4 linked regions of the Pelodiscus sinensis genome follow. The protein of the gene in region 2 interacts with the protein of the main gene of each other region in a pairwise test. Links are inferred from orthologs where the notes say so. Each region holds a gene or a part of one and is shown on either strand. Other genes may lie near its edges. The genes, in order: NRF1, FHL2, ITGA7 and NIBAN1.

What was found.
Region 1: the proteins of FHL2 (region 2) and NRF1 interact in binary tests that used the Homo sapiens proteins (3 or more experiments, as listed by UniProt). The two-hybrid records come from large-scale screens. The link is inferred for Pelodiscus sinensis from reciprocal best matches to the Homo sapiens genes FHL2 and NRF1.
Region 3: the proteins of FHL2 (region 2) and ITGA7 interact in a two-hybrid assay, tested with the Homo sapiens proteins (2 studies listed by BioGRID and IntAct). The link is inferred for Pelodiscus sinensis from reciprocal best matches to the Homo sapiens genes FHL2 and ITGA7.
Region 4: the proteins of FHL2 (region 2) and NIBAN1 interact in binary tests that used the Homo sapiens proteins (3 or more experiments, as listed by UniProt). The two-hybrid records come from large-scale screens. The link is inferred for Pelodiscus sinensis from reciprocal best matches to the Homo sapiens genes FHL2 and NIBAN1.

What each region holds. Positions count from the first base shown.
Region 1 is NC_134711.1:4,287,211-4,294,724, forward strand, and holds the start of NRF1 (nuclear respiratory factor 1), read right to left. Parts: upstream 3,321-7,514; 5' UTR 3,163-3,320; intron 1-3,162. UniProt on the Homo sapiens protein: Transcription factor that activates the expression of the EIF2S1 (EIF2-alpha) gene. Links the transcriptional modulation of key metabolic genes to cellular growth and development.
Region 2 is NC_134711.1:233,435,783-233,443,642, reverse strand, and holds the start of FHL2 (four and a half LIM domains protein 2), read left to right. Parts: upstream 1-4,326; 5' UTR 4,327-4,395; coding exon 4,396-4,434; intron 4,435-4,918; coding exon 4,919-5,095; intron 5,096-7,860. UniProt on the Homo sapiens protein: May function as a molecular transmitter linking various signaling pathways to transcriptional regulation. Negatively regulates the transcriptional repressor E4F1 and may function in cell growth.
Region 3 is NC_134729.1:4,582,798-4,590,533, reverse strand, and holds the start of ITGA7 (integrin alpha-7), read right to left. Parts: upstream 3,450-7,736; 5' UTR 3,409-3,449; coding exon 3,239-3,408; intron 1-3,238. UniProt on the Homo sapiens protein: Integrin alpha-7/beta-1 is the primary laminin receptor on skeletal myoblasts and adult myofibers.
Region 4 is NC_134719.1:55,875,706-55,883,915, reverse strand, and holds the start of NIBAN1 (protein Niban 1), read right to left. Parts: upstream 3,215-8,210; 5' UTR 2,973-3,214; coding exon 2,918-2,972; intron 1-2,917. UniProt on the Homo sapiens protein: Regulates phosphorylation of a number of proteins involved in translation regulation including EIF2A, EIF4EBP1 and RPS6KB1. May be involved in the endoplasmic reticulum stress response.

The sequences.
Region 1 (7,514 bases), about 230 Mb from region 2:
TAAATCCACCTTTGAATACATTATACAAGAAAATTCTGGTTGAATGATCAACAAAACATTTAGACCGTATTTTGTCTCACAAATCATACAGAATAGCTTTGAAACAAGCTGTTTGCACAAAATATGCATACGCATCCTCTTTACAAAAAGAAAACCTGAGTACCTTGAACCACCTTTCTAATTTCCAAAGGTGGGACTAGACCTATCCGCAACACAACCCATTCAGAGGAGCAAAAAGATAGCCATGGAGGGAGGGATCTGCAAAAGGTAAACACACCCTGATGTGTAAGGGCCACTGTATTACGCTCTTCCTGAGTGCAACAGGGATCTTGCCTCCTGTCACACACCCACACTGGCAGCTCATGCAATACATGCTTTTGTTTTTGGCTGCCTCTGATGCCACCCATCCTCTCTCCATTCCTTGGAAAGGGAAGGAGTGAGAGCCCAGACCTGTCCCCATGATTCACTTCTAAAGAACGGCAGAATTTGTTCAAGATAGGGGGAAAAGGGAAGATACTTTCAGATGTCATCTGAAATGAACAGCAGTGGTTAGCGGGCAGGGATACAAATCCCGCCTTTGCCCTCTAATGCCAGCAACCAAGCTCACTTCTGAAAAGAGAGAATAAGTCCCTTCAGGTGCACTCTTTCCCACTTCCCCTACATTAAGAGTGGTGATCTGGGAAAACACGCTTCCCCCTGGAGAGCAGAGATGAGACATCTTCCAGCCCTCTCCCTGGACTGGCAGGGGGGTGGTCATTTTCCAACCCTTTTTCCTTTCCCCAACCCTGAACTGGGGGGCCAGGCGAGAATCCTGCTCCCCAGAGGAGTAGCGGAGCAGCCCTCTTCCCCATCCCCGGACAGGAGAGAAGGGATCAGGCAAGGCATCTGCTCCCCAGAGAGGTGACAGAACAGCCCCTTTCCCCATCTCTGGATGGAAGGGGGAGTCAGGTGAGGAATCTGTTTCCCGGAGGGAAGGCTGAGCAGCCCCTTTCGCTATGGGTAGAAAGGGAGGAGTGTCAGGCAGGGATCCTGCTCCCTCTGGGGTGTCAGATCAGCCCCTTTCCCCCCCTGGATAGAAGCGGGGAATCTAGGGCTGAGGGGTGTCAGCCAGGGATCCTGCTCCCCTCTGGGGTGACAGATCAGCCCCTTTCCCCCTGGATAGAAGGGGAGAATCTAGGGGTGAGGGGTGTCAGCCAGGGATCCTGCTCCCCTCTGGGGTGACAGATCAGCCCCTTTCCCCCACCTGGATAGAAGGGGGCAGTCAAGGGGTGAGGGGCCAGCCAGGGATCCTGCTCCCCTCTGGGGTGACAGATCAGCCCCTTTCCCTCCCTTGGATAGAAGGGGGCAGTCAAGGGGTGAGGGGTGTCAGCCAGGGATCCTGCTCCCCTCTGGGGTGACAGATCAGCCCTGGATAGAAGGGGGGGTCTAGGGGTGAGGGGCCAGGCAGGGATCCTGCTCCCCTCTGGGGTGACAGATCAGCCCTGGATAGAGGGGGGGGGGGTCTAGGGGTGAGGGGCCAGGCAGGGATCCCGCTCCCCTCTGGGGTGACAGATCAGCCCTGGATAGAGGGGGGGGGTCTAGGGGTGAGGGGCCAGGCAGGGATCCCGCTCCCCTCTGGGGTGACAGATCAGCCCTGGATAGAAGGGGGGGTCTAGGGGTGAGGGGCCAGGCAGGGATCCCGCTCCCCTCTGGGGTGACAGATCAGCCCTGGATAGAGGGGGGGGTCTAGGGGTGAGGGGCCAGGCAGGGATCCCGCTCCCCAATGTGGAGAGCGAGCAGCCCCCCCCCCCCCGTTAGAAGGGGCCGCAGGGAGGGGCCCTGCTCCCAAGGGGGGCGGCCTGGCGAGAAGGGGGGGCCAGGCAGGGATCCTGCTCCCCTTTGGGGTGACAGATCAGCCCTGGATAGAAGGGGGGGTCTAGGGGTGAGGGGCCAGGCAGGGATCCCGCTCCCCTTTGGGGTGACAGATCAGCCCTGGATAGAAGGGGGGGTCTAGGGGTGAGGGGCCAGGCAGGGATCCTGCTCCCCTTTGGGGTGACAGATCAGCCCTGGATAGAAGGGGGGGGTCTAGGGGTGAGGGGCCAGGCAGGGATCCTGCTCCCCTTTGGGGTGACAGATCAGCCCTGGATAGAAGGGGGGGTCTAGGGGTGAGGGGCCAGGCAGGGATCCCGCTCCCCTCTGGGGTGACAGATCAGCCCTGGATAGAAGGGGGGGTCTAGGGGTGAGGGGCCAGGCAGGGATCCCGCTCCCCTCTGGGGTGACAGATCAGCCCTGGATAGAGGGGGGGGTCTAGGGGTGAGGGGCCAGGCAGGGATCCCGCTCCCCTCTGGGGTGACAGATCAGCCCTGGATAGAGGGGGGGGGTCTAGGGGTGAGGGGTCAGGCAGGGATCCCGCTCCCCTCTGGGGTGACAGATCAGCCCTGGATAGAGGGGGGGGTCTAGGGGTGAGGGGCCAGGCAGGGATCCCGCTCCCCTCTGGGGTGACAGATCAGCCCTGGATAGAAGGGGGGGGGGCTAGGGGTGAGGGGCCAGGCAGGGATCCCGCTCCCCTCTGGGGTGACAGATCAGCCCTGGATAGAAGGGGGGGGGGCTAGGGGTGAGGGGTCAGGCAGGGATCCTGCTCCCCTCTGGGGTGACAGATCAGCCCTGGATAGAGGGGGGGGGTCTAGGGGTGAGGGGCCAGGCAGGGATCCCGCTCCCCTCTGGGGTGACAGATCAGCCCTGGATAGAGGGGGGGGGTCTAGGGGTGAGGGGCCAGGCAGGGATCCCGCTCCCCAATGTGGAGAGCGAGCAGCCCCCCCCCCCCGTTAGAAGGGGCCGCAGGGAGGGGCCCTGCTCCCAAGGGGGGCGGCCTGGCGAGAAGGGGGGGCCAGGCGGGGATCCTGGGCCGGGGCCGCCCCGGAGAGCGAGCGACCCCCCTCCCCTCGCCCCCCCGCCGCACCCCGCTCGGGGGCAGGATCCCGCCCCCGCCGCCCCTCAGCCCACCCCGGCCCGGGCCTAGCGCGGCCTGCGCGGCCCCGAGCTGGGAGTTGGGCCGGGCCGGGGGAGGCCGGGCCGGCGGCGCGGGCTCCGGAGCGGGGTGCCTGGGCAGCCGGCGGGGGCCCCGCGTTGCTGCGGCTGCGCCGGGGCTGGAGGAGCTGGGAGATTGCGCGGTAGGACACTCACCTCAGAGCGGCTGCGCTGCAGCGGGCCTGCGCCGTGGAGCCTCTGCCAGGCGGCGGCCGGGGAGGGAGCCGAGCGGGGACACGGCGCGGCTCGCCCTGAGCCGCCGCAATGGCGAGCGAGCGAGAGGCGGGCACCAGCAGCAGCAGGAGGCCGAGGAGAGGGCGCGTGACGTCACGGGCTGGCGCCGCCGCCATGATGAGGAGGGCACCGCGCCGCATCGGGAGGGGGGGGGCGCCGCCCCGCGCCATGTTGGGGAGGTCGGACGGGGGGAGCCTGCCGCGAAAGGGGCGATTCGGGGGGCGCCGGGCGCCATGTTGGGAAGGTCGGAGGGGCTGATAAAAGGGGAGGGGGGAGGTCGCCATCTTGGGCAGGTCAAGCCCCCGCGTTGATAAGGGGAGCTCGGTCCTGTGGGAGTCACACAGAACCGCGGAAGTCAGTAGAGAGCGCGCTTCGGCTCCAGCCTCACGGGGAGACGGGGCAGGGCCCGTGGGGTGCTGTGAGGGGGGGGCAGGGCCCGTGGGGTGCTGTGAGGGGGGGGTAGGGCCCGTGGGGTGCTGTGAGGGGGGGGGCAGAGCCCGTGGGGTGCTGTGAGGAGGGGCAGGGCCCGTGGGGTGCTGTGACGGGGGGGGCAGGGCCCGTGGGGTGCTGTGAGGGGCAAGGCCCGTGGGGTGTTGAGGGGGGGCAGGGCGCGTGGGGTGCTGTGACCGGGGGGGGGCAGGGCCCGTGGGGTGCTGTGACCAGGGGGGGGGGCAGGGCGCGTGGGGTGCTGTGACCGGGGGGGGGCAGGGCCCGTGGGGTGCTGTGACCAGGGGGGGGGGCAGGGCGCGTGGGGTGCTGTGACCGGGGGGGGGCAGGGCCCGTGGGGTGCTGTGACCAGGGGGGGGGCAGGGCCCGTGGGGTGCTGTGGGGGGGGGCAGGGCACGTGGGGTGCTGTGACGGGGGAGGGGGCACGGCCCATGGGGTACTGTGAGGGGAGGGCAGAGCCCATGGCGTGTTGGGGTGGACGGGAGCTATGCAGTATTTCACAGAATCATAGAACACTAGGATTGGAAGGGACCTCGAGAGGTCATCGAGTCCAGTCCCCTGCCCTCATGGCCCGACCAAATACTGTCTAGACCATCCCTGATAGACATTTATCTAACCTGCTCTTAAATATCTCCAGAGATGGGGATTCCACAACCTCCCTGGGCAATTTATTCCAGTGTTTGACCACCCTGACAGTTAGGAACCTTTTCCAGATGTCCAACCTAAACCTCCCTTGCTGCAGTTTAAGCCCATTGCTTCTTGTTCTATCCTCAGAGGCCAAGATGAACAAGTTTTCTCCCTCCTCCTTGTGACACCCTTTTAGATACCTGAAAACTGCTATCATGTCCCCTCCCAGTCTTCTCTTTTCTAAACTAAACAAACCCAATTCTTTCAGCCTTCCTTCACAGCTCATGTTCTCTAGATCTTTCATCATTCTTGTTGCTCTTCTCTGGACTCTCTCCAATTTCTCCACATCTTTCTTGAAATGCGGTGCCCAGAACTGGACAAAATACTCCAACTGAGGCCTAACCAGCGCAAAGTAGAGCGGAAGAATGACTTCTCGTGTCTTGCTCACAACACACCTGTTAATGCATCCCAGAATCATGTTTGCTTTTTTTGCAACAGTTTTGCAACTGTTGACTCATATTTAACTTGTGGTCCACTATGACCCCTAGATACCTTTCTGCAGTACTCCTTCCTAGACAGTCGCTTCCCATTCTGTATGTGTGAAACTGATTGTTCCTTCCTAAGTGGAGCACTTTGCATTTGTCTTTATTAAACTTCATCCTGTTTACCTCAGACCATTTCTCCAATTTGTCCAGATCATTTTGAATTATGACCCTATCCTCCAAAGCAGTCGCAACCCCTCCCAGCTTTGTATCATCTGCAAACTTAAGCGTACTTTCTATGCCAATATCTAAATCGTTAATGAAGATATTGAACAGTGCTGGTCCCAAAATAGACCCCTGCAGAACCCCACTTGCCAGCTGTCTACACTGGCCGCTTGCTTTTCCGGAAAAGCAATGACGATCTACTGTAAAATTGTCAGTGTTTTTCCGGAAAGACTATGCTGCTTCCGTTCGGGAAAAAGTCCTTTTCAAGAAAAACTATTCCGGAAAAGGGCCAGTGTAGACAGCACAGTAGTCTTTTCCGCAAAAAAGCCCCAATCGCGAAAATGACAATGGGGGCTTTTTTCCAGAAAAGCGCGTCTACATTGGCCACAGACGCTTTTCCGGAAAAAGTGCTTTTCCGGAAAAGCATCCTGCCAATGTAGACGCACTTTTTCCGGAAATACTTATAACGGAAAACTGTTCCGTTTTAAGCATTTCCGGAAAAGGGTGCCAGTGTAGACGTAGCCTCTGAGTATGGTTATCCAGCCAGTTATGTACCCCCACTTATAGTAGCCCCATCTAAGTTGTATTTGCCTTGTTTATTGATAAAAATATCATGCGACACCGTATCAAATGCCTTACTAAAGTCTCGGTATACCACATCCACCGCTTCTCCCTTATCCTCAAGACTTGTTATCCTATCAAAGAAAGCTATCAGATTGGTTTGACATGATTTGTTCTTTACAAATCCATGCTGGGTGTTCCCTATCACCTTACCACCTTCCAAGTGTTTGCAGATGATTTCCTTCATTACTTGCTCCATTATCTTCCCTGGCACAGAAATTAAACTAACTGGTCTGTAGTTTCCTGGGTTGTTCTTGTTTCCCTTTTTATAGATGGGCACTATATTTGCCCTTTTCCAGTCTTCTGAACTCTCTCCTGTATGGTTTCTCTGAGGCAGGGGCATGGGCCAGTGGGTGCTAGGGTGGGACAGGCAAGGCCCAGCAGGGAAGAAGATGGGCCAATGGGTGCTATGGTGGGAAGGATGGAACCAAAGGATCTTGAAATGAGAAAACTACCATCAGGCACATGAAAGCTAGGGATGTGAAAGTGATACCCGCAAGCTCCTGGTATATGCAGGGAGCAGGCTTAAAAGCCAGCTCATCCCGCAGCACATCAGCAGTAGTCGCCCCAGGAATTGAAATTGGGGGGGGGGGGTGTTCAAATTTACAAGGGGGGTGTCAGAGCTGATGAGGGGTGACACCGTGAGGGTGAAGGTGAGATGTATGGCATCATAGTTCACAAAACTGGGGGGGTGTTGGGGAAATTCAGGAGCGGTATACACCCCCATGGGGGAGGGAGTGTAAGGAAATTTCTGGCATGCACTGGAGGGAAGGGAGGGAAGGAGGTAGAGCCACTATGCACAGGGTACCAACTTAAAAGTCAGCTCCATGCACACACCAGCTTGTATGTAACCACTGACATTTTCAGCAGTTACATGATTACTTAAACACATTTTAACATCCCTAATATAAGCACATTATGAAAGCTAAGGCCTTACCGGGAGGATGGGGCCATTGAATGCCATGTTGGAAAGGGCTATGCCATGCTAGCAAGGAATGAAGCTGATGCAAGTTCTCAGTCCTTATCTCCAAGGCACTGCATGCCCTGTGTGCAGGAAATCAAAAATACTACCTAATGCTCTGGAGAAGGCTGTGATAGACATTTGTGCTCCTTTGGGTACACTGAAACTTTCAACAATAAGGGTAAGCTCACCTGTGCAGGAAAAAACTTTCTGAGGAGCCAGTCTGAGACTGTGGAATAAACTCCGTAAATATCTATGGAGTATCACAAACCTCACTAACTGCCTCCCTGAGGCCAACAGGCATTTCTTTGACCTTGCTTTTTCTAACAAATACATATCAATGTGTAGATCTGATTTTTTTTTTAAATCCTACATTTAGAACTTTACCAAAACAATTCACTCCAGTGTAAATGCTTCTTCCCCTAAAGGAGTAAATACTTACCTATATTTTAGCATATGAATTTAAGAATGGCCATACTGAGACCAATGCTCCATCTAGCCCAGAATCATGTCTTCCAATAGTGGCTAGTGCTAGATACTTCAAAGGAAAGGAGCAGAACAGGCCAAGCATCAAGTGAGCCATCCCCTGTTGTCCTGTCTCAGTGTCAGAGGTTCAAGGACACCCAGAGCATTGATTTGCATCCCTGATCATTTTGGGTAATAGTCACTGATGGACCTATCTTCCATGAATTTATCTATTTTTTTAAAAATCCATTTATAGTGCTTGCCTTCACAACCTTCCTTGGCAATGAGTTCCACAAGCTGTCTGTGACTTGTGTGAAAAAGTACTTTCTTTTGTTTGTTTTAAACCTGCTGCCTATTTATTTAATCAGAAAATTATCCATAGTGACTTCAAGATCTTCTGTTTTGGGGCCATTGACAGCACATGTGTGCCCATTATCTGCTCCCTC
Region 2 (7,860 bases):
TCTGAATTTTTTTTTTCAAAAAAGCGGATGCTCTCTTTCGCCATCCCTGTAAACCTCATTCTATGAGGCATAAGGAATGTGTTGAAAGATCAGGTCCTTCCGAAATTTGGTGCCATATAGATTTGCCAAATTTTGGAAAAGCCTCTTTTGAAAGAAAATCAGGAAAAAATACACAATTTTCAGTACACAAATTGCATATCTTTTTCCGATTTAACTCTGCAGTCTAAATGTAAGCGGGGGAATGATCCCGCTATTGTGGGGAACTTTCCTGGCTTCTATACACCCCGGTGAAATGAACCAGCAAAAGGATCTGAGTCCCCGCTCCCACTTCCTTTACCCCATGGCTCCCTGATCCTGAGGGCTCCCCCTCCACTCTCCTGAGTAGCAGAGCCCTTGAAACCCCAACAAGGCTGGGCCCAGGTTTCCTGGGGCTTAATCCCTGACCTTGTAGTCACTAGGGGCAGGAGTTAGGGTGTCCCCACTCCGAGGTGCTCTCTTTACACTGCAGGCCTTCTTGGCCCAGTGATCACTTCATAAGGTTCAAAGCAAATACAATTTATTAAACAACAACTGGTTAAAGAGAAAAGAATAAGAAAAAAATGAGAATGGTTAAATGAGAACACACAGCCCTGCTCTGTAGCACAGGGACATCAAAACAGCAGCCTGCAGAGTGTAAGGACAGTCCACAGTCTCTTCCTTAGAGGCCTTGGATGTGCTGCGGGGGGGGAGGGGCTGCAGGCTGGACACGCTTGCTCTGGCAGTGACCACACAGCCTCAAGCTCTAAGTGGCCAGACCCCTCTCCCAGTCCAGAGCCTCTCCCCACACTTTGCAGTTCCCAGCTGCTCACCACATCCAGCTGCAGGCTGTGCTGTGTGGCCAGTCTCTAGCTTCTTGCATTGCTTCTCTGTTCCTTTTGGCTCTCTGAGCACTGCCAGTCTGCTGCTCAACACAGGGTCTGCGCTCTTTGAGCTGTGTGTGTCTGGCTCAGCTGCTGCAAAAACTGCCCCTCAGCACACAGCTTGCACTGCTTGGGCTGTCTCTCAGCTCTCTGTTCCTTTTGCAGGACTTCTTCTGCACACAGCTTGCTTTGCTTGGGCTGTCTCTCAGCTCCCTGTTTTTGCAGGACTTCTTCACACAGCTTGTACTCCTATTTCAGCTCTCTGTCTTTGTAGGACCTCTTCTGCACACAGCTTATTTGTTCAGAGAGAGAGCCAGAACAATCCCAGCTCACAGGGAGGACGGGGCCTGGCCTCTCCCCTTCCTCACTGGCCTATCCAACCTGTCAATCAGGCTGAGCTGGAGTGTTGGCTGCTTTCCATTGTCTCTGGGGTCTGTCAGCCTCCTGAACCCTTCCCCCTCTGAAAGTGGGAGCTGGCAAACCAAAAAACTCCCACAGAGTTTTAGTAAGGGGTAACAGTCCCCTTACATAAACATAGCCTCTGATTAGTTTACTAATACCTGCACAAGGAAATTAGTTCCAAATAACCACATTGGTCGAGGGTGTGAAAAAATCTGTGCTGCTGAGTGATGAAGTTAAACGGTCCTAATCCTTGGTCTAGCTAATGTCTCTTGGGGAAAATCCCTTCCCACTGCAGTGTTTTAAGTGTAGACAAGCTGTAAGTATCAATATCATTCACGCATTCTCTAGGCCCCGTCCCAGCTTAATGCCAGTGAACAGGACAGGTACCTGTTGAGTTGTGTGAATCTTTCATAAATCTAAAACAAAATGATGTATTTTTCCATTCTCACATCTCATTGGATAGTCCTTGTTATGATGATATGTGATCATGCTTATGGCATAAGCATTATCAATATGGGAAAAGTTAGAAAAGTGTTATTCCTACAGTACAAAACTTGGGTCATCTGATTAAATTAATAGGCAGCAGGTTTAATACAAACAAGAGAATGTACTTTTTCACTCAATGCACAATTAAATCCTTCTCACAGGATGCTGTGATCGGCCAGAAGTGTAAATGGGTTCAAAAAGAGAATCTAATATGTCCTGGAGGATAAGTTACTCAAGACAATTGCTATTGGTCAAGATGGTCAGGAATGCAAACCCGAACTTGGGATGGCCCTAAATCTCTGAGGGTACATATACACAGCAGGGCAAAACTTGAATTAAGCAATGCAATTTCATCTATATCAATTACATAGCTGAAGTTAAAATAGCTTAATTCAAATTTTGGCACTTTCTACACAGAGGAAGTTGAAAGAAGAACACTATTCCTCTGACTTCTCTTATTTCTCATGAAATGAGGGTTACAGGAGTCGGAGTAAGAAGTCCTCCAGCTCACCATTATTTCAAAATAATGGCTTGCAGTGTAAATGCACACTATGTTATTTTGGAATAATGTCTGTTATTCCGAAATAATGGTTCTACATAGACACACCCTGAAGGTCAGAATATAATAATGGGTCACTCCAACTTCCCTGTTCTCTACATCCTCCCCAAAGCTCTGGGACCAGCCATGGTCAGAGACAGGATACTGAGCTAGGTGGACTATTGGTCTGACCCACTATTGTCTGACCCTTGTGACCTTACTTTTTGTTTCTTTCTCCTGGGAGAAGAGACTGTGAGTGTGTCCAGAGTATTATAGAATAGAGATGGAATCCATTCAACTCCCCAAATCTAAACATTCCTGAACTTTTGGGAAGTTTTGGTCTTGATCCCAACTTCATGAGTGAGTCCTGTCTGAACCAAAACTTTAGCTCTGAACTTATGAGTCCCAAACATTGGGAGATTTTGCAATTATCTTCCTTCTCTTTAAAGCAAGGGACTGTGGGCTTGAGAACCTCAGTTGAATACTGCTACAGATAAGAAAGATGGACACTTTTGTTATTAGGACCCAAGCCATTTAAATCTTCATTTGGGAAACCAACTGGAAAACAGCACAGAATATGGTGCACAGGTGTAATGCAGTCCACATGAGAAACTACTTCATAGGCAGGCAGTTACATTCGGCAGTAATTTTGAATGGTTTTAAGGTGTAGTTGCAAGCATGGGGGGTTGGTGCTGCTGGGGCTGAGGGAGGCAAGCCTGCAGCCCCTCCTACAACCCCACCCCCTCTGCTGTGGAGCAGCATGCTGAAAGCACCCCCTCCCCCAGGAAAGGAAAGAGGGAGAAGGGGGCATGTGCACACGCCCAAGCCTCCCCAGCCCCTGGAACACTGGGGGAGGGAGGAGGCCATGTGGTGTGGTTCCTGCCACCCTGGTCCCCAGAATACCAGGGTAGGGAGGAGGACACATGGCAAGGTGTCTGGAGCACCGGGGGAGAGAGGAGGTCACATGGTGCAGGGCTTTGATTTGCTTTGGGAGTCTCCTTGGCCCTCCAGTGACAACACAACTCTTCCCTCTCTTAGTGTACCTTAACTTCTTTGCTCTCATAGTATTGGAGTGTCCTTCTCTTATAGCTTAATATATTAATTAGCCAAGGTCACTAACATATGTCAGTTGAATTACTATGGTTATCTGTGGTTAGGCATCTGCTAATATGTCCTCCAAAAATGTTCTAAAGATGATAGGTACAAACTTCTTGCAACATTTGTGATTGTTAGAAGACTATACACAGAGTCTTATGCCATCTTGTGACTTAAGATCATTGTTAGTTTTCTAACTTATAATAGCTTACTATTGATCAATTATCCTTAGGCAGGCTGAAAGGACTCACGCTAACTGCTTAAGTTATCCTTATCGATCTAGGCCTACAAGTCTTGCACCTGTGCTGTCAATTCCTTACCTCTCTATCTTATGATTACTGCTATAATTACTGTACAGCTACTGGAGAATAACTGAATCCCCAGGTTGCAGCCTGCTCAGCATTCCCAGAACTATAGACAGTTGTGCTGGCTGCACCCCACACGTAAAAGCTAGTTTCAAATCTGAATGAGATAATCCAAAAAATGGCTTGAAAACTCTTCAGCGCAAGAAATGCTCAACTCTGTCAGTGGATGAAATGGCTCACTTAACCAGGTTGTTCACCAAGCAAGACCATTCTGCTGAATCAAACTTTGCCGGCATTAGGAAGAAAATTTCCCATGGGCAAATTATTTAATTACTGTCCATTATGAGGATGCTTGCACCTTCCTGTGAGGCATCTGATACTAGACTCTGTCAAAGACAGAGTGCAGGAGTACAAAGACCAGCTGCTCTGATGCAGCATAGTTATTGCTGTGTTCCTAATTTCCCTTCACATGAGGATTTAATTAAATAATAAAAAGTGTTGAAATTACTTGCCATTAAATTAAGTAAATGTGTGGTACAATGCAATAACACTAAACGGGATATATATCATCTTGTTTCTTTCAATGGAGTTAAAGGTAACCTTACTATATTTTAGAAATGTGCGTCTGTCGGTCTGTCCGTCCATTTGTGAGTTCATTTGTTCAAGAACAATGGGACGCGTCTGGAATTTGATTATTTCTCATAAAATGGTAAGTGAGAAGTCTGATAGAAGGGACAGTTATACTGTAGAATGACCACAGGGGGGCAGCAAGGAGCCAGAAATGGGGACTGGGGTAGCTATAACCCCACTGGGCCAGCAAGGGGTAGGAGTGGAGAAAGGGATAGCCAACTACTATATATTTCAGAGAGTTTGTCTGTTTATGTGTCTGTCTGTGTGTTTGTCCCCCAGCTGGAGGACATGCACCACTCCCCAAGCTGTGCCAACTGCAACTGCAGCAGCCATGATCAGACACTTTTCACCTGGCCTCAAGCTACTACTTTGAGAAAGGGCTGGGGTTGTCCTCTCTCCCCAGGGCAGCCTGAATACTGAACCTCTTATCCTCAGCCCCACCCCAGAACAATGATTAAAATTAAGAAAAACAAAACTTACTTGAGTTAAGGACCAGAGCAATGCCAGGTAAATCTTCTAGTAAGTCATAAATCTGAACCTGCTTGTTTTCTTCTTCATGACAGATCAAGAGTCTAGACACCAAAATGACTGAACGCTTTGACTGTCACTACTGCAAGGAGTCCTTGTTTGGCAAGAAGTACATCCTGCGAGAAGAGAGTCCCTACTGCGTGAAGTGTTATGAAAGTCTTTACTCCAACACCTGTGAGGAATGCAAAAAACCAATTGGCTGTGATTGCAAGGTACTTTGGACTTGCATTTCATTGACATCACATCTGTCAAAACAGATAGGATAGGTCCATTCCCCACACGGGATCACTACAACACTACAGGAGAAAAGGGATCTGGGTGGAAGAGATCTGTTTCATAACATCTTATCATAGAATCATAGAATCATAGAATAATAGGACTGGAAGGGACCTCGAGAGGTCATCGAGTCCAGCCCCCCGCCCTCAAGGCAGGATCAAGCTCCGTCTACACCATCCCTGACAGATGTCTATCTAACCTGTTCTTAAATATCTCCAGAGAGGGAGATTCCACCACCTCCCTTGGCAATTTATTCCAATTTATTAATTAGGTAATTAAGAACCTGACCTTCCACTGTGCTAAGCACCTCCTTGGAGAACCATGGGAACTGAAGATGCTCAACATTTTCCAGGAAGTGCTTTGATCCAGATTCCCAAGAATATTCATTAATTTTGAGTGCCTCACTTGATCATGGTTTGCCTCATTTTTCCAAGGTGCTGTGTAATCACAGTTCCTATTGACTTAGTGGTTTAGATGCTCAACACTAATGAACACAAGCTTTCTATGGTTCTAATGTTGGGCACCCAAAGAGTGAAATACCAAAAATTATAGGGTCGCTTTTGAGAACTTGGGAGTTAACCTCTCTGCCTCAGTCTCTCCTGGGGTTAAAAGAGGCATACTAATAATTACCTGTTTTACACAGCTAGTGTTCGGATGATTTGAATGCAAGTGAAGTGCTTCAGCTGAAAACTGGAGAGTACTTTTTACCATCTAGAAGAAACTTAAAATATCAGCCTTGTATTTGATAGGCTAAAAAATGTTAATGAGTTTCTTTCTGAATGATACATATTGATATTTTAACTGTTCATTTAACAGTAAAAATATTACTCAAGTAACACTAGGCAGAAGCTATGAAAGAGACAACATGCATGTCCCATACACTCTTGCAGCAGAAAATGTCCATAGAACTAACTTAACTGGCTACCCAGGAATTCCCCTGTAGCAGGGTGGACTCACGATTGACAGATCTCTTTGCAACTGAGTGTGATGTAGCAGCTGTTTCCTCCCCAGTCCCCTCTTGCAACAGTCACTATGATGCTGTGGCAGTCTGCCTTGTCTGGTGACTCAGCACTCCAGCCAGGTCTCATTTTAGTCCTAGCCCCTTCTGAGGTACCAAAAGTTCAATAAATAATTCCAAGGCCAAGTCTCTGGGCCCTGACCCTGGGCCTGATGCTCCTTACATCTTTCAAATCGGGATTGTGAATCATCCCTATTCTCTTCTGTCAGGGGAGCTTTACATCACTTTTCCAAGGCCAGTAGGAGAACCCAAGATCAGCCTCTGCCTGGCTTCCAGTCCAGGGATCCTAGAATCAACAACTAAGGTCTGCTTTGCCAGACATCTCATCACAGCCTCCTGCAATTCCATTCTACTATTAGCCTTTCCTCAGGCCTTTCCCTCTGCCATTTCCCAGGCCCTTTCCCTCTGCCATTTCCCAGGCCCTTCAGTTCCTGCCCTTGTGCTGGGGTCTTACCCTAGTACTGTGCCTTCACATCATCTTCCCGGCCTGGACTTCCTGCTTCCACAAGTCTCTCTACGCTATAGTGATAGCAAAGCTCTGTCTTATCTCTCTCTCTCTGCAGTTCCAGACTTCCAGCACTCCATTGCTTCTTCCCAATTTTATCTTTTATTATGCCTTACCTGCCCTCCAGGTACAGCCAGAGGAGTTAACTGACCTCTCAGACACACGCTAATGCTTTCACCACATGTGTGGGATACAGACTCCCATCACATCAGGCCTCTATGTGCGTGGGGGGAGTGTGCCAAAGGTGTGAAGGAAGAATGAGGGGCTCTGTTGGGACAGTGGGTCCAGAGCTCAAGCTCAGCCACCCTCCTTCCCCCCATAGCAGGGATACTGCGCTGGTACTCCAGCCTCGCCCTCCCTCCCCCAACCCCACACTAGATTGGAGCACCAGTGTCAGCTTCCCATGGGGGGGGGGGAAGGGGAGGAGGGAAGAAAGCCCTGAGCTTCGCTGCATGATCCAGCTCATGGGGAAGAAGCACTTCTGCTCCCCCTCACCTCGGTGGGGGAACAGCAGTGAGTGGGCGTGCTGCTTGGAGGGTTTTACCACTGCTCCCATTGGCTAGAATCTGACCAATGGGAGCAGCAGGAGGCAGTGCCTGGGAGCGGCACGGAGCATGAAGGCAAGTAATTGCCCCCCACCCCCTCATGCCCAGACTCTCACACCCCAACCTCCTAATGCATTGAGACAATTGGGCCAAGGGCCAAAAAGTGTGAGAAACAATGTGTTAGGGGGATGGGAGAGTGCTGTGTTGTGGGGGGTTGGGTGGGCGGGGCTGGTGGCAGCACCGCAGGGCTGGGGGAACGGTGGCCCCCACCAACAAGGAGTGGCCCAGCCCCAGCCCCACTGGCTGGAAGCCCCTCCCATGCTCACCTGGCACTGGCCTCGCAGAGCAGATAGAGCAGCAGCAGGCAGAGGAGGCCAACGGAGCGAGGGGCCATGGCAGCCGTACTGTCTGCCAGGATCCCAGAACATAATGTCTATAAAAGCTTTATTACTGTATACATTTTTAGGATGTTATAACAAAAACATTTTACCAATCACTGTTTCCACTCAAATTAACCTCTCTTACACACACTCATTGCATGACTAGTTTGAACTCCTTTATATTTAAAAAAAACTACAGGCCACATTTACAAACAAAGTACCACCAGCCCCAGAAATTCTGTATATGGGCGTG
Region 3 (7,736 bases), on a different chromosome or scaffold from region 2:
TAGCCACACATGGCTAACACCCTTCGGCAGCAAGACTGGGGCCCAGAACTGGGCAGAACCTTTCTATTCCCAGTTCTGCCACTGACCAGCTGGCTGACCTTGGGCAAGCCCCAGCACCTCGGCGTGACCGTTTCCCCTCCTGCCTTTGGGCTGTCTTCTCTAGTTAGCTTGTGAGCACCTCAGAGCGCAGAAGGTCTTGGACTCAGCTGGGGCAGGATCTGGCACGAGGGAGGCCCCGATCTCTGTGGGGGAGGGGGTCCCCTGAGCACTGCAGCCATATACGCCACCCCCGTGTTTGCATGATGGTCCCAGACCAGCGCTCGACCGTCCACACTCCCTTTGTGCTGCGTAAGCCGCCAGGCACAGAACCAATGCTGATGGTTCCAAAGGACTGAGAAACATGCCAGATGGACCCCAGAAAGGCCCCCGTGCCAAGGGCAGGATGGCTCCGTCTCCCAGCCGCCTTCCCTGCCCCCAGCCGCCTCCACAAGCGTGCGAAAGCCCTGCCACTGTTTGCACTGGCCCAGCGCTTTGTCCGTGGTGCGTCAGCGCGAACGCCAGGGTGGCTCCGAGCTGCCAGAGCAAATCCCCCCGCAGGGAGGAATTCCGGGAACGTCTGACAGGCTTCGCCATGGAGAACAAGGAACGTGACCAAAGCTCCCCCGCAAGAAACAGACAGTCGCATATGGGAACCCGTCCAGCGCCAGGCAGGGCGTGAGATCAGCGCTCCCCCAGCACCTGTTCACAACCCAGACGGACTGAGCCAGACCGGGCTTTGCTCTAGCTGAAGCCAAAGGGATTCTGTTTTACAAGACAGTTTTTTTATCTTCTCCGGGCAGCAACCTCTGCAGCAGACCCCCCCAGGGACAGATGGCTCTCAGCACAGGGACCCAGTGAGGGCGCTCTCAGAGGATGCTCCCAGCAGCTGGGCACTACCAGGGTACCAGGAGGGGCTCCCGCTGCCAGGGACCCAGCAGCTGCTGCCCCCGGAGTTCCAGCTGCTGGGGTCGGCTCTGCTGTGAGAAGCCAGCCGCCAACCCAGAATCCAAGTGAGCGTTGGCAGCAACTGTGACAGGCCAGAAGGCGGGAGCCAGCAAAGATCACACCGGGGGCGTGCCAAGGGAGAGCACATTTCCCGGGCTGCAGCTGCGCCCACGCCAGCCCTGCGTTACCTTCAGCAGGGGGCACCAGCAATGCCAGCCATGACTCGCCTGGCCTCAAGCAGCTGCGAGGAGCCCCCAGTTCACCCCCTCCCTCGTTGGGGGGCACTGAAGAGTCCTGGGGGGGAGCATGATAAGATCACAAGCCTCATCTGCATTTTTCCCCCCCACCTTGCGCTGTTGCTCTAGGCACTAAATGCACCCCAGCCCAGAGGTAGTGCCGTCCCAGGCCACACACGCCCAGAGAAGCACCATATGCCCACCTCCCACGGAGCAGGCATGGGACTGATACTGCTGCTGCTGGGGCAGGCCGTGGGGGATCTCAGCCTCTCACCCCCATGGCTCCAGCCAGCCTGGGGTCCGCACTATCGATTTCCTCTCCTGGCTCAGCTCCCGTCCCTGCTGAATAATTTACCACTGGAGGAGGCAAGGAGGGGATGCAGGGATTTGAGCCCTGATGGCTTCTAGTGTCTGGGCCCCTCACCTAAATGGCTCATTAATGATTCTGAGCTGCGCCCACAGCCTCATTAATATTCATCAGAGCTTTATTTAACCCTTTGCAGCCCTAGCTCAGCCCAGCCAGCAGCAGGGCTCACACTGGGCCAGCTGGGAGCTGCCAGCATCCCTTGCCCCAGGGAGCCCCATCCCTGCCCCCAAAGAGAGCCCAGCCGTGCCGGGCAGACACAGCCAGAGTGGGACTGCTGAGCTGAGGATCACAAAGTGCTGAAAAAGCCACCATCCACCGAACCCTCAGTGACACCCTGGCCACATGTGGCATCACCCGCCCTGGCACACGACTGCCGACCTCACTACACGTACATGAAGGCAGCAGGGGCCTCATGGCAGGAGCACAGCACTGGGACCGGCTCTGCCACAGAGCGACCTTAGGCAAGTCCCTGCCCCACCTCATGCCTCAGTTTCCCTGCCTGCACTATGGGGACAGTGACACTGTCTTGTGCGGGGAGCTCTGCTGAGAGGCAGGGGTGGGGGATTATTATACAGCTCAGCACTCTTCCCCCCCCCCCCCACTCACACACGTTCTCCCACCAGCAGGTCTGCACACCCGCCCCCCAGCGAAGGGGGAAGAGGAAGGAGCTGCTGTGAGACAAGCTCCCCAGCCCAAGCCACAGAGAGCTGGGCATCTGCTCCCATCGGTGAGGAGCCTTGGCTGCTCCAGACAGCACCCCCCTCTGGCCGCTGGGGCACCCGTAGGGTGGGGGACAGAGGATATGGCTCTGTCAGGAGCCTGGAGTGCAGCTGGGGGCAGATCAGGCCCCCGGTGTCCCTGTACAACTCAGAGCTGCCTTCAAATGTGCCCCTCCCCCGAGGGGACAGAGCTGCTGCTTTTAGGGTCCCAGAGAAGTCGCAAATCGGTGCCAAAATCGTGCCCAGGGAAAAGCTCCGGAGCTGACAGGTACATCCCGAAGCCACCCAGGGACTCAGGAAAAGAACCCAGGAGTCCGGGCTGTGGCTGTTCACAAGTGCTTGGCTCTTAGACTCGGATCCGCCCTGGGGCAGATTCCATGGGAGAGGGGAGACCTCCGCACTGTCTCTGGACAGATGTTGGGGGGGGGCGGTCAGCGCTCCCCACTGGAAGCTGCATCTGGACCCGCACAGGAGACCCGAGAGAATCCAGGGGTCAGGCGAGAAGGAACCTGCCTCGCCTCGGCGGGTCGGGGAAGTTCCCAGCGGGGCGAGGGGCGCAGGGCGAGGCAGGCGGAAGGGGTAACAGATGTGACCCTGCCCCCCCCCCCACACACACACACCGCGGGGATCGGCGAGAGGAGAATACCCCCCACCCTGCTACCCTGCGCAGTTATTTAGAGCCAAGGGAGGGGGGGGGGGGCCGAGCTGCTACCCACCCCCTGAAACTTGCTCGGAGTAACGGGGGGGGGGGGGTTGTTTTACAGATTCTCCTCTCCCCTCCCCTCCCGGCCCGGCGAAGGGTGCAGAACCCGCCTCCCGCGCCGCTGCGGACCCCGAGACTTGACACCCCCCCTCCCCACGGGACCTCCCGGCTCTTCGTCCCCCGCCCCACGGGAAGGCTGGGGGAGCGGGGTCCCCGGCTCGGCGCTCACCAGCTGGCGGGCTCGGGCCGGAGCTGCCGGTGCAGCGCCACAGAGAAGCCGAACAAGCTGCCCCCGGGCCCGTCCTTGAGCAGCGTGTGGGTCCCGTCCAGGTTGAAGGCGGCGCCCGTCAGGAGCTGCAGGCCGAGGCAGCAGAGCCCGGCGCCCAGCGCTCCCCGCATCCTGCCGGCAGAACAGCCTCCACAGCTCCGCTCTTCCGCGCGCTAACAGGGGACCGGGCCCGGCCGCCGGACACGCCCCTTCCCCGCCGGCCGCACGGAGCAGGGCAGGTGCTGGCCCCGAACCCGGCACGGGGAGCGTGAGAAACTGGTTGTTCTGGCAGCGGCCCCCGGACCCGGCCACTGCCTAGGGCGCCGCCCCCTCCCGTGCACGTGCTTTGCAGGGGGAAGCAGCCTCTGGCCGGCGCTGAAATGCAGCCACCTCTGGGGGGAGTCGGCAGCTGCCTGCTGGGGCGGGGCGGCCGGGCAGGCTGCGAAAGAGGCGCCAGGTCTCCGGTGGAAGCCGGCCAGGACACCGGGCTGCACGAGGGCAGAGTCCCACGGTGCCTCACGCCCTGGCCAGGCGGGAGCTCAGGACACTGGATTCACCCAGGAACTTTTTCCGCTCGGGGGAGACCCGAGGCAGCCTCCTGAGCCCCTCGCTCCCGTGCTCGAACGAGCATCCTTCGGTGCCGGGCTGCTGCTCCCAGTTAAACAACATATGTCACCCCAGCGCCAGGCACTTTTGGGGGTGCGCTGGGGTGACATGCGATATACCCGCCACTGCAGCTGTAAGAGACCCTCTCTCCTCTGGCGGCCCATGGATGGGAACTCCCCGCAACCAGCTCCCTGCATTATTCCCCACAGCGCCTCCTGCTGGGGCTACCGCCCCCGGCCTCCCTCAACTCCTAGAGCGCCCCCTACCGAGAGTGGCTGGAGCTGGGCTATTGTCACCTTAGCCAGCGCTCCTGCCCCCTCGCCCTCCAGCGCCCCCTGCTGGAAGAGGCTGCGAGGTGTAACCTCAGCCAGTGCTCCTGCCCCCTCGCCCTCCAGCGCCCCCTGCTGGAAGAGGCTGGGACGTGTAACCTCAGCCAGTGCTCCTGTCCCTCGCCCTCCAGCGCCCCCTGCTGGAAGAGGCTGGGACGTGTAACCTCAGCCAGTGCTCCTGCCCCCTCGCCCTCCAGCGCCCCCTGCTGGAAGAGGCTGCGAGGTGTAACCTCAGCCAGTGCTCCTGCCCCCTCGCCCTCCAGCGCCCCCTGCTGGAAGAGGTTGGGACGTGTAACCTCAGCCTGCGCTCCTGCCCCTCGCCCTCCAGCGCCCCCTGCGGGGAAAGGCTGGGACTTGTAACCTCAGCCTGCGCTCCTGCCCTTCGCCCTCCAGCGCCCCCTGCTGGAAGAGGCTGCGAGGTGTAACCTCAGCCAGTGCTCCTGCCCCTCGCCCTCCAGCGCCCCCTACTGGAAGAGGCTGGGACATGTAACCTCAGCCAGTGCTCCTGCCCCTCGCCCTCCAGCGCCCCCTGCGGGGAAAGGCTGGGAAAAGGGAACTGGAAACTAGCAGTCCTTAGCAGCCAGCTTGCCAGCACGCTGGCCCATGCTCTGCTGCATAGCTTGGGCTGCAGGGAGCTTGCAAAAGTGGGCCAGAGTGAGCCCCTGCTAGGTTTCCCGGCCCAGGGAGGAATGGCACGCGGTGCTGCTGTTGGGGCAGGATGGCTGCAAATGAGAGTGAACGGCCGCCTGTGGATCGCGGGCCTGGCCCCAAACGGGAGCGTGGGGGCGTCACATTTTCCAGCACACCAGCTATTTTTAAACCGCTCCCGCTCACCAAGGGCTTCACAAGAGATTTGCGAGTTGGCAGGGCTGCTGCATCCACGTGAACGGGCTGCAGCCCGGATGCCGGATGCAGCCGCGCAACAGTCAGGTGACTCTCGACCTTCCTGCCCCTGGTCGGTTCACTTTGGTTTTCCTGCATTCTGCCCCCAAGGCAGTGGGGGACAGATGGGGTGACCCTGCCCCTTGCAGAGCCGGGTTGTGGGACCATCTGCCTGATGGCAAACAGGCCCTCGGAGCTTTTCCCTCCCCAGTGCTTTCCCCTTGGATAGCCTGGCTGGCACTGGGAATGGATGATTCCTTCTCTGAAGGGCCACCTGGGAATGGACCCAGTTCCATCCACTGTCCCAAGGGCGCCTAGGGCTTTCGCCTCTGTCCCCCTGCACATCGGCCCTGCCACCCCAAACATTCTGTGCCAGACCTAAGAGCTGAGATCAGACCCCAGAAATCCCCCACCCCTTCCCACCCCGCTCTTTCAGCAGCATCTTTCCACCTGGCCCGGTGGGAGGAGGCTGCTGTCATGCAGGCAAGGTGGGTACAGAGAGTCTCGGAAGCAATGGGGCTTGGGACAGGAGAGGAACAGCTGGTGTAAATGAAACTGAGCCTTGGGATGTCCTCAGTGGAGAGGGGGCCACTCGGCAATCTGTCTACTGGAGCCTCAGTGGGGCCCAGAGCCGGGTGAGTGAAGCAAGCTGCTCTTGGCCTCTCTTGCTTCCGTGGCTCTTCTGCAGGGACGCGCAGCGGTTGGTAGAACTGCCCTGGGCCGGCTACGTTCACCCCTGCCCAGCCCAGGTTTCCGAAGTCCGCAAGGGTCCCAAGATCAGGAGGCTGGCTTAAAATGTTGAAAAACAACGATCGGGGGCGCTGCTTTTGGATCTCTCTCGGGCCAGCGGTGTCACTTCTCTCTGCACCCACAGAGGCTAGAACCTGCCTTTGCTTTTGCAGTGAAGGCTGGAGGTTTTAGGTCATCGCAGGACTCTTGGAGCTGGGGCCTTGAGAACAATTCTGACCGTGGTGGGCGGCACCCAAGGAGATCAACACCTGGATTTCTGTCACAGCGTTGGCCAGCCAACAGCCCCTTCACAGATCATGTAGCCTGTCCTCCTGAGTCACAATCCAGAGAGTGACCCCCCACTTCCTGTGCCCAGCAACCCCTGTCAGGTCAAACGTCTCCCAAAAAGGCACCCAGCCTGGCTGCAAAGGCACAAGCCTGGCAGAGCCGCCCCATCCCTGGGCAGTTTGTTACTCACCCCCAGCCAAACCTCTGGGCTGTAGGGTAGAAGGCCCAGCCTGCTGGGAGAACACCTCGCAGCATCCGTCAGCCTCTCCACCTGAATCCGAGATCCCGCTTCACTTCCTGTCCTAAACTGCATCCCTGGGACAGAGCAGCCACATGCCAGTTGCTCTGTGCAAGGGCATGGCCAGCTGAGCCTCAGCCGCTGGCTTTGCATGGCGTTTGCTTAGTTAGTGGACGGTGTTATGTAAATGGCGGGTGGTCTGCAGCTGAGAGAGCACTAGAAGTGTGTGTGTGTGTGTGTGTGTGTGTGTGTGTGTGTATTCTCTGGAATCACTTTGCTTGTTTTTGTGATCACCTTAGCAGTGACTGGGAGTGTGTGTTCTGTTTTCACACAGGTGCCAACTCCACATTCAGTGTTCAAGGGCGCACCTCCTGCAACTCACCCAACACCGCCTCTCTCGCTGACCAAGATCAGAGTGTGAAAAATGAGGAGGGGGGGAGCAGCAGCTTGGGAGGGTGAGTGTAAGGGGAACATCCCGTCTTGAAAAGACTCAGTTGGATTTGAAACCTCAGTTCCCACCAGCTTCTGAGAGCCCCTTCCAGCTCAGCCAAGCCAAGAGACCACGTGACGGGGAGGAGAGATGAGCTGGCTGGCTCTGGCTCCCAGAGCTACTGCTGGGCCTCTAGGGCAGCACGAAGCCCCGGCCTCAGTTTCAGAGCCAGAAAAGTCCCCTGAGGGCTTTGGGGGCCGTGGGTGGAGCTGGCAAAAAAGCGAGGCCAGAGCAAGAGGAATCTCTGTGGGTGGGGAAAATTGCTGGAGCCAGAGGGCTGGGAGCAGAGCTGAGAACAGGGGGTTATGGGCCTTGGCCTCTACAGATGGACCCACCCAGAGAGGGAACCGCTCCCAAGCAGCCTTCCAGTTCCTGAAAGCAGCAGAACCAACCCTTCTCCATTAACTCTGGCCAGGGCGAAGTCCTTCAGCCCCCCCAGGGAGCATCCTTCACCAGATGGCAGAGAAAAGGGAAGAAGCGGGAGTGTAGAGGAGGAGGCCAGATGGTAACATGACATGGCCCAGAACCAGCTGGTCCATGCCCATATACCCGCCTGGCACCTCCTTGCAGCAGCCGGCTCGCCTCCAGTCTCCACTTTCACATCTAGCTGCAGTTACAGCGGCCAAGGAACCCTCACGATGTGCCCTGGGCATGAGCCAGACAGCTGCCCCTGCCTGTGTCTGCAAAGAGCCTGGCCCCATAGCTCACAGGAGTGTGCACGGCCCCTGTCATCTCAGGGAGGGGCGGACTCAGACTCCCCCTGCTGAGCATTCACATGCCAGCCCGGCTACCACCTCCGACCCTCCTGCGAGAGAGAGCTGCGCAGCGACACCAGGCAGGGTCTTTTCGGGTGCTAGCTGGGAGAAGGGGAGGGCCCAGCAGTGGTTCATGAGCCAC
Region 4 (8,210 bases), on a different chromosome or scaffold from region 2:
TGGCCAGGTTTGCTGAAGCCCCTACAATCAGGTTCCCCAGGCCCTGCTGCAAAAGGCATTCTTAGGGCTTAACCCCTTCCTGCCCAGGCTGTCACCAGGGGACAGGAGGCAGCTGGGTTATGTAGGTGGCCAGCAGCAACCAGGAGGTGTTAGCTGCTTTTTGACACTGTGTGGGTAGGAAGGGACAAGCTTCTTCCAATGTTGGAGGTGAAGGGAGAGAAGAGATGAGCACCGCAAAGACACGGGCCAGGCCATTCTTGTCTCCCTCCTCATCCATCGTTCTCTCCCTCCTCTTCCCCTGCAGCTGAAAGCAGCTCCTTTCCTTTCCCTCCTGCACGGTGCGAGAAGGCTGCTTCTGGCCACATTCTGGTGTGAAATCAGTGGGCATGTGACCCTTTGTGGTCCCACACACACATTGCTTCAGGAAACTGTGGAGTCAGGAGCCAAGAGAGGCTAGTTTGTCCCTGGGGCCCAGCCAGGCATGGACGTTTGAGAGCACCAGGCACGGAGGATCAGGTCAGTCAGTCGCTCCGCCTCCCCTCACCCCGATGTAAGAGCTGTGTAGGGGAGAGTGTGTGACCTCTTTCCACGTATATAGGGTGTGTGGCAACCCTTTCCAGGCAAACCCTGAAGCCTTAAAAATAAGAAGATAAAAAGAATCCAACTATGCTGTATTTCTTTTTAGTGGGCTCAGTCAACTTAATGTTAATTTGAAGGTTTGTACTGCATAGTTCTGATTGATTGCCTTTGAACTCTCTTGAATAGGGTGCTATATTCTGCACAGGGAAATAGGTCACTGAGTTGTATACAACATTGTTGTGTATAAATATGCATCAAGTAAGGTCTTTTACAATAAAAGCTTGTAATGTTCTGAACTTGATGGCCATTAGGAGAGACGTACACAGATTACGGCTATGAATATATGCTTGCATATATGGCCAGGTCTATGCTGCCACTTACTTCAGTAGAACATATATTATTCAGGGGTGTGAATAAGGCACACCTCTCAGCAACACAATTTACACCAACCTAACCACAGGTGTGAACAAATGCTATGTCAGTAGGAGACCTTCTCCCACCAACATAGCTAGTGCCTCTTTAATATGCTGATGGGAGAGATCTCTCCTGTCAGCACAGAGTTCCAATGTAGTGCTTCTAGTGTAAACTAGCCCTATGTGTTGAACACTCCTCGTAACTCAGGTACAACTGCATCACTCTAGTGTGGAGAAGGAGTCAGGGCCAGAAGCATCTCACAGACTAGCTGCTTCCATGACACTAAATTCCAACAACTTACTACGGAACAACACAAGGGAAGACAATGATAGACCACTAAAGTTAATGGAAAGACATTGAAATTGAAAACTCAGGACACTTGTTCTGTTTAACATGAGCTACCATACTCTGAAAGGCGAAAGGGAAATTTAGATACCATAGAAGAGTAAAGCCTTTATGTTTATTTTCTGTGTAACTTGTCAGTGTTTGCTTTTCTTTACTGTTTGATTCTATGATTTCTCTAATAAACACACCTTTTATGTATTTTTACCCCCACACTGACCTCTATTGTGCAAATGATGAGAAGAGTGCTTGCTAAAGTTAACTGACAGGTGGGGAAATGTTTAATTCCTTCAAATGCCTAAGTGGGAATGTCTGAATGTCTGGGCATTAAGAACTCAGGGAAACTGATCTGTAGGAACTCAATACCCAAAGGGATTGCTGAAGTCATCCTGCAAGGAGTAACCAGGTTGGTGGAAGGCAGAGTTGAGCCTCTTATGCTTGTAGGCTAGCTACTGGTGTCAGTAAGGCATCCCACATTACAAGGCATACAATGACAAAACCCCTTACTGGTAGATAATCCTAAAAGGATTTGTTATCTAATCCAAAACCTAGAGGAAATGTTTTTTTACTTCAAAGGACTTTGCAAGGGGCTATTTTAGCCCCCTTCCTAAATGCTTTGCCAAAGTCCCACAACTTTAATGGGCCCCCAAGTAGTATGGAAGGCATTTTCAGCAATGGCAAAATAGTATTGTCCACATACTTTCAAAGTATGATTGATAATCATCCAGTCTCAACTGCCTATTTTTTTGGCGACAAGTTTCAGCGGGGTAGCCCTGTTAGTCTGTTTCAAGAAAAAACGAGGAGTCCTGTGGCATCTTAAGGACTAACAAATGTATTTAGTGATAAGCTTTCACCAGCCGGAGTCCCCTCTGTCAGGTGTGTGAAGTGGAAACTTCAGTTTGGCGGGGATATACAGCAAGGGGAGTGTTACATTACTCTGGAGAGGGCCAGTGCCAAGGAAGCCAACTCAATCAGGGTGGCTGTGGCCCACTCAACAGTGGATAAAAAGGCGGAAATACTAAAAGGCAGAAATTACTTTTTATAGCAAGCCAGCCATTCTTCGTCTCCAGTCAGACCCAGCCAAGTTTGCATCTGACTTTCAACCCTGCAGTTTCACGCTGCAGTCTAGTTTTGAGGGCGTTTGGCTCAAGTGTAGCAACACTCCCGTCTGGCACCGTGTGCCCGGGGCGGCTGAAGCGCTTCCCCGCCGGTTTGTGGAAGCTGCCATTTGTCAGATGTGCTTCCATGTACTCTTCTGCCTCGACGCAGGCCAGTATGGCCAATGTACGTGGCAGAGGGGCCTGGCTTTCTTGGGTTACCCCTAAAACTGAAAAGCCTCCATCTGCTCTCGGCACGCGTGGCGGCCCGAGCCCCTGGCACAGCAGAGCTCGCCTGGGCTCGTCACCCGAGAGCCTCACTGTCTCCTGCCCACCGCAGCCGTCCAGTCTGCCCGCTGCCTTCGCGGTTTGCGCCGCATCCTTCCCCCCAAGCAGCCGGTGCCTCCCCCCGCCACATGCAAACGTGGTGGTGGCCGCTGCCCGCCCCTGGCTCCCGGCGAGCGCAGCAGCCGCCCCGCGCGTACCTCGGATGTAGCTGCATTTGCTCTCGTCCAGCAGGCTGGAGGCGGAGGCGCCCATGGCGCTGCAGAGAAGGCGGCCGGCCGGGAGGAGCTGATCAGTTCAGCCAGGCTGCCCGCTTCGCCGCAGGGAGGGGTTGTCTCTGCTCGGCGCGTAAACTTCCTCCAACAGGCGCCGCCTCAGCTCCAGCGGGCTGGGCGGGGAGCGCTGCTCGCCCCCGGGGCTGCGCCCTCGGTCCCCTCGGCCGGCTCCTCCCTTTCCCTGGCGTTTCTTGCTGCCCCTTCAGGCTCCACTGCTTCCCCGCCTGGGGCTGTCACCGCTCAGCGCCACTGTCCCCTGCGGGTGGGTTAGCAGGGGTGGGTTAGCCCGCTGGTAGCCCCCCGCGAGCACACGCAGTTGTGCGCCCCTCCCCAGACACGGACACACCTGCTGCCACACAAGGGAGCGCACCAAGGTGTCACTGGGCGAGTCCCGCTTGCGCCAAGCCAAGCTGCTGCCTGATGATTCAGGGTCATTCGGATACAACTTGTTCCCCCAGCCAGGCGGTATCTCAGGGTAAACCCCCCCCCCCCGCCCCACACATACATACACCTGCAGGTTCCAGAGAGAGAGAGAGAGAGCGAGGGAAACGCACCATGACCTTACTTCAAGGGCAGGTCCTCCCCCTGCCAGTGTGGTGGCATGTTATGGAATCCAAGTGTTTAATTATCCGACATCAGTACCAATATTGCACTAAGGTTAAGAACTTGATCCTTAGTTTCAAAGCCCTAAATGGGAAACCCCTCTTTCAGCAATCCTATCCGCGGCAATTAAATGCACAATCCTCACTGGGATTTGCACAGCACAATTTAAGCCAAGTGGCTTGAATTGTGACTGTATCCCTGTTAGGATAGTGTTACAAAAGCAAGAAACAAGGCAGTGAGGTAATATCTAGAAGTTGGTCAAGTAAAGGATATTACCTCACCTACCTTGTCTGTTGAATATCCTGGGACAAATATAGATACAACACTGTATACTACAAAAGTAAGGTCATTGTTGTCACCACAAAAACTATTATATCTTCAAGGGATAGGACTAAACAAATACGTTTCAATGTGTGGTTTTCAACTGTGGTCTACAGACCCCTGTGACCCTCAGACTATGTGTAAGATTTCCAAAGGGGCCCGAACCTCCACTTGACATTTGTAGCCATTTTCAAATGAAAAAGCTGAAAACTACTGCTATAGATAAAGGATCATGTGTTTGCAACAGAAGTCAAAGAAATGCAAAACTGGTGCAACAGCAAACTTCATTCAAAGAATTTCCATGCTTCTATCTAAAAATTATTTTAATGCAACTTTGCTCAACTGTTTGTGGTTTTCTAATGTTTCCCCCCATTTTCTTTGGGGTTTTTTTAACAATGAAAGTTAATTGAATGGGATCAGCAGCATGCCACTATAGATTGTTAGAATTTAAAAACAACTTAATACTGTGTATAGAGTATAAATTTTATTATGAAATTGAGCTGCATTGAACAGAAGCTACTTATGTATTACACATTTCCGGTAACAGAAAACTGTGTATTTTGGGCATGTGAATACATTTGTTTCAACCATTTTACATTGATCACTTGCTCCAAATTTGTTTGAACACATTAATCCTGCTTGTATTCCCTTCACTGATTGTATTAATGCATTTGATACCTCAATCATTTAATATTTTGCTACTTCATCAGTCAACAGCAAGTTAAGAAATTTCACATCCAAGAAGAAAAGTTTTTAAATCAATAATCAGCATGATGCCATTTGAAACAGCTAAAAAGATACAACATTTTTATGCAATAATCAGCATTGTGCTAAACAACCTTTGGCAAGCATACAAATAAAACTTACCTAATGCAGTCAATCTATATTAATTCACAGTATTAAGCTGTCCCTCATTGGTGTATGCCAGTTATATATAGAAATTGGGCAATTGTTTAACTGTTCTAGCAAGGAGACTGGATGCATGTAGTGCCTTAATAAAGACTGGCTCTCATAAGTATTTGGATATCTTAACTGAGACTCAAATCGACAGCTCTCTAGAGGCATAATATAATTAGTGGCCTTTAACATCTTTATTTGTTAAGCTCTATTCACAAGGTTTTAAATTGTAGCAATGTGGTAGTTGCAGTAATGTGATCATTTCACATCCACTGAGGTGTCTGATTAGAAAATAAACAAAAGAGTTACAATATGCATTGTCTTGCAACTTTAAGGTGTTTCAGGTAGCATCAGTGCAGAATGTGGCCTTAATATAGTGTTGCATGTCCTGTAATGTCAAATTTATCTCCAAAGCCCATAGACACATCTGAAACGAAAGAGATAAACCATGCAATTTGCATGAATTATTTTATTCTAAGATAAATGCCTGTTCTATCTTTATTGCTCAGAAAATAGTACCTTCCATCCAAGTGCTTTTGGAAGGGGTTAATCTTAATTAATTTAGATTAGTCCAGTGTGAAAATGCTTTTCTGAAGATTCACTATGTAATATGTCCTAAATGGCAACAAATTTGGACTACTTCAGTCCAGGGGACAATGAATTCAAAAGTCTGAGATAGCTCTCACTCCTTGCATAATCTGCATAAATATCAGGTAGAGCAATTTGTTACATCTCTTGTTGTGGGATGCTGCTTTGCTTTGGTCTGTGGGGAGTTTGCTTTTGATGATGAGTTTCAAGAGTTGTTTGAAGGCCAGAAGAAGAGATCAGGAAAGTTTTCTTTCAGGATGAAGTCCCCATTGAGTATGCATTGTAATTATTTAATGATACCCCATAAAGGTTCCACCATGTGGAAGTAGGTGACAATTAGGATTGTGCATTCCAACACATTTTTATTTCTATGTTGAACCAGGTTTTCTGAGTACATTTGGGTGCAGGGTCCTTGGTTGATGAAGGTGGTGTTCAGTGTGTTAAGGTATGTATCCTGAACTTTCTCATTGAAACTTATTCTATGGCTATAGAAAACAGATTTCTTGGTACCTTTATGGTAGTTACTAGGGCTGTCAAGCAATTACAAAATTTAATTGCAATTAATCGCGTGATTAATCGTGTGCCTCCTCTTTGAAATGCTGCCGTGGCGTTTCAATGGGGCAGCGATCTATGGAGCCCAGTATCAGCTGAAGTCCCCGGCTGATCCCGGACTCTATGCAGCACTGCCACTTGGAAGTGCCGCGGCGGCATTTCCAAGGGGCAGCACGTTAGGAGCCTGGGATCAGCTGGGGACTCCAGCTGATCCCCGGCTCCACTGTTGCAAAGTCCCTTTGAAGTGCTGCTCCAGCTGATACCCAGCTCTGCTTTGAAGAGTCCCCAGCTGATACCCAGCTCTGCTTGCACTGCCCTTTGAAGTGTTGGAGCAGTACTTAAAAGAGGCAGCGCAACATTAACGCCTGTGATTAACGAGTTTTTAAAGTTAACACGTTAATCCTGTCCTGCGTTAATTGCAGGCGTTAACGCAGGTCACTTGACAGCTCTAGTAGGTACTGGATCTGTGAAGGTAGGAGTGAGTTTCTTGTGTACATAGCTGTCTCTAGGATTCCATTGTTGAAGCTGATCATAGTGTCAGAAAATTCTAGAAAGAATTTCATAGATAGGTAGGAGTAGCTGACATTTTGGCAGAAATCTGTGAAGGAGTTCAGGTTGCCTGTTCAAAAGATGAAAATACCATTGCTCTGTCTCAGGCATGCCCATTAGTTTTGTGGTACAATTGTCCAGAAATAATTCCTCATGGTGGCCCATGAAGAGATTGGCATACTGAAGAGCCATCCCAGTACCCACAGCTGTTCCTGTGGTTTGCACAGCGTTTGCTATTGAATGTAAAATTGTTATGTATAAGGGTGAAATGGATGAGCTGGTGATGTGTTTGGGGTGTATATCATGGTGAGGGATGTTGGGGTATAAGGAAGGTGACATCCATTGTGGCAAGGATGATGTTCCAAAGGAGACTGTCAGTGGTGGCTTCTGGTGAGGGACCAAAGGGGGGCACTAGTCACATTACCACCCCCCAAGTGACTCCTCCCTGCACCACCCCAACACAGGCCCTCCTTCTTCTTGCCCCTTCCCACTCCCCCTCCATCTTTCCCACAAATCCCTTTTCCGGAGCAATGTGGGGGCCTATAGGGAGCCGAGCTCTGGCAGCAGTTGGGCTCACCCATGGAATTGGGGATAATGAATGACCCTTCATGTCCCCCCACATATTTACTCTGGAGGTTGTTAATGTTGCAGAGTTTCTGGAGGAAACCAACCCTTCTCCTGGCCGAAGCTAGGCCTTCGTGTTGAGTGATTTCAGGGTGATTTTTTGTATCTTCTTGTTCCTTTAGTAAGAGTGTCATGGTCAAATATGATGGGCTTGCCTGTTTGTGTATATCTTGGGAAGCATGTAGAAAGTCTCCTGGTGGATTCAGGGGAATGAGGGTGTAGTGTTTCTCTTGGAGTTTTTTGGGGGAAGATTTAATGATGTCCTTAAATTCCTGGGTACATTATGGTGTGAGGCCTTCACTTAGTACAGAGAACTCAGAGCTGTCGGAGAGTTGTCATTTAGCATATATACAATGCAACTAGAACCATGCTTAAAAGAGAAAAAGAAAAAAAAGGAACCAACATTGAAACAAATAGAGACAAAGGCTAGGAAAGCAGAATCTTCATCGATCTCACTTCTCTCTACCACTTTTGACTATTTTGTTATTGGTATTCTGTTAAAGTGAAGGTTTACATCATTAATTCACAGAGGAAAAAAGCCATTAACACAAATTACAGTCACCTGGTGGAATCATGGACTCCCCCCGGCAGGATCCCTCCTTCTGCACACATAGGCTATGTCTACACTGCACATTTCTTTCAGAATAAGCTATTCTGGAATAGTTATTCCAAAATAGCTTATTTTGAAATAGTACATCTACACTTCAGGGAAGCCGCAAAATTAGTCTGAGGCATACTTCCCTAATGTAGACATGCTATCTCCATTTAGAGCCCAGGAGGAATAACTTAGGGTATGTCTACACTACCCCCCTAGTTCGAACTAGGGGGGTAATGTATGCATACCGAACTTGCTAATGAAGCCCGGGATTTGAATTTCTCGGGCTTCATTAGCATAAAGCCGGCACCGCCATTTTTAAAAGCCGGCTAGTGCGAACCCCGTGCCGCGCGGCTACACGCGGCACGGGCTAGATAGTTCGGACTAGCAAGCTATTCCGAACTATCAGCTTGCTAGTCCGAACTATCTAGCCCGTGCCGCGTGTAGCCGCGCGGCACGGGGTTCGCACTAGCCGGCTTTTAAAAATGG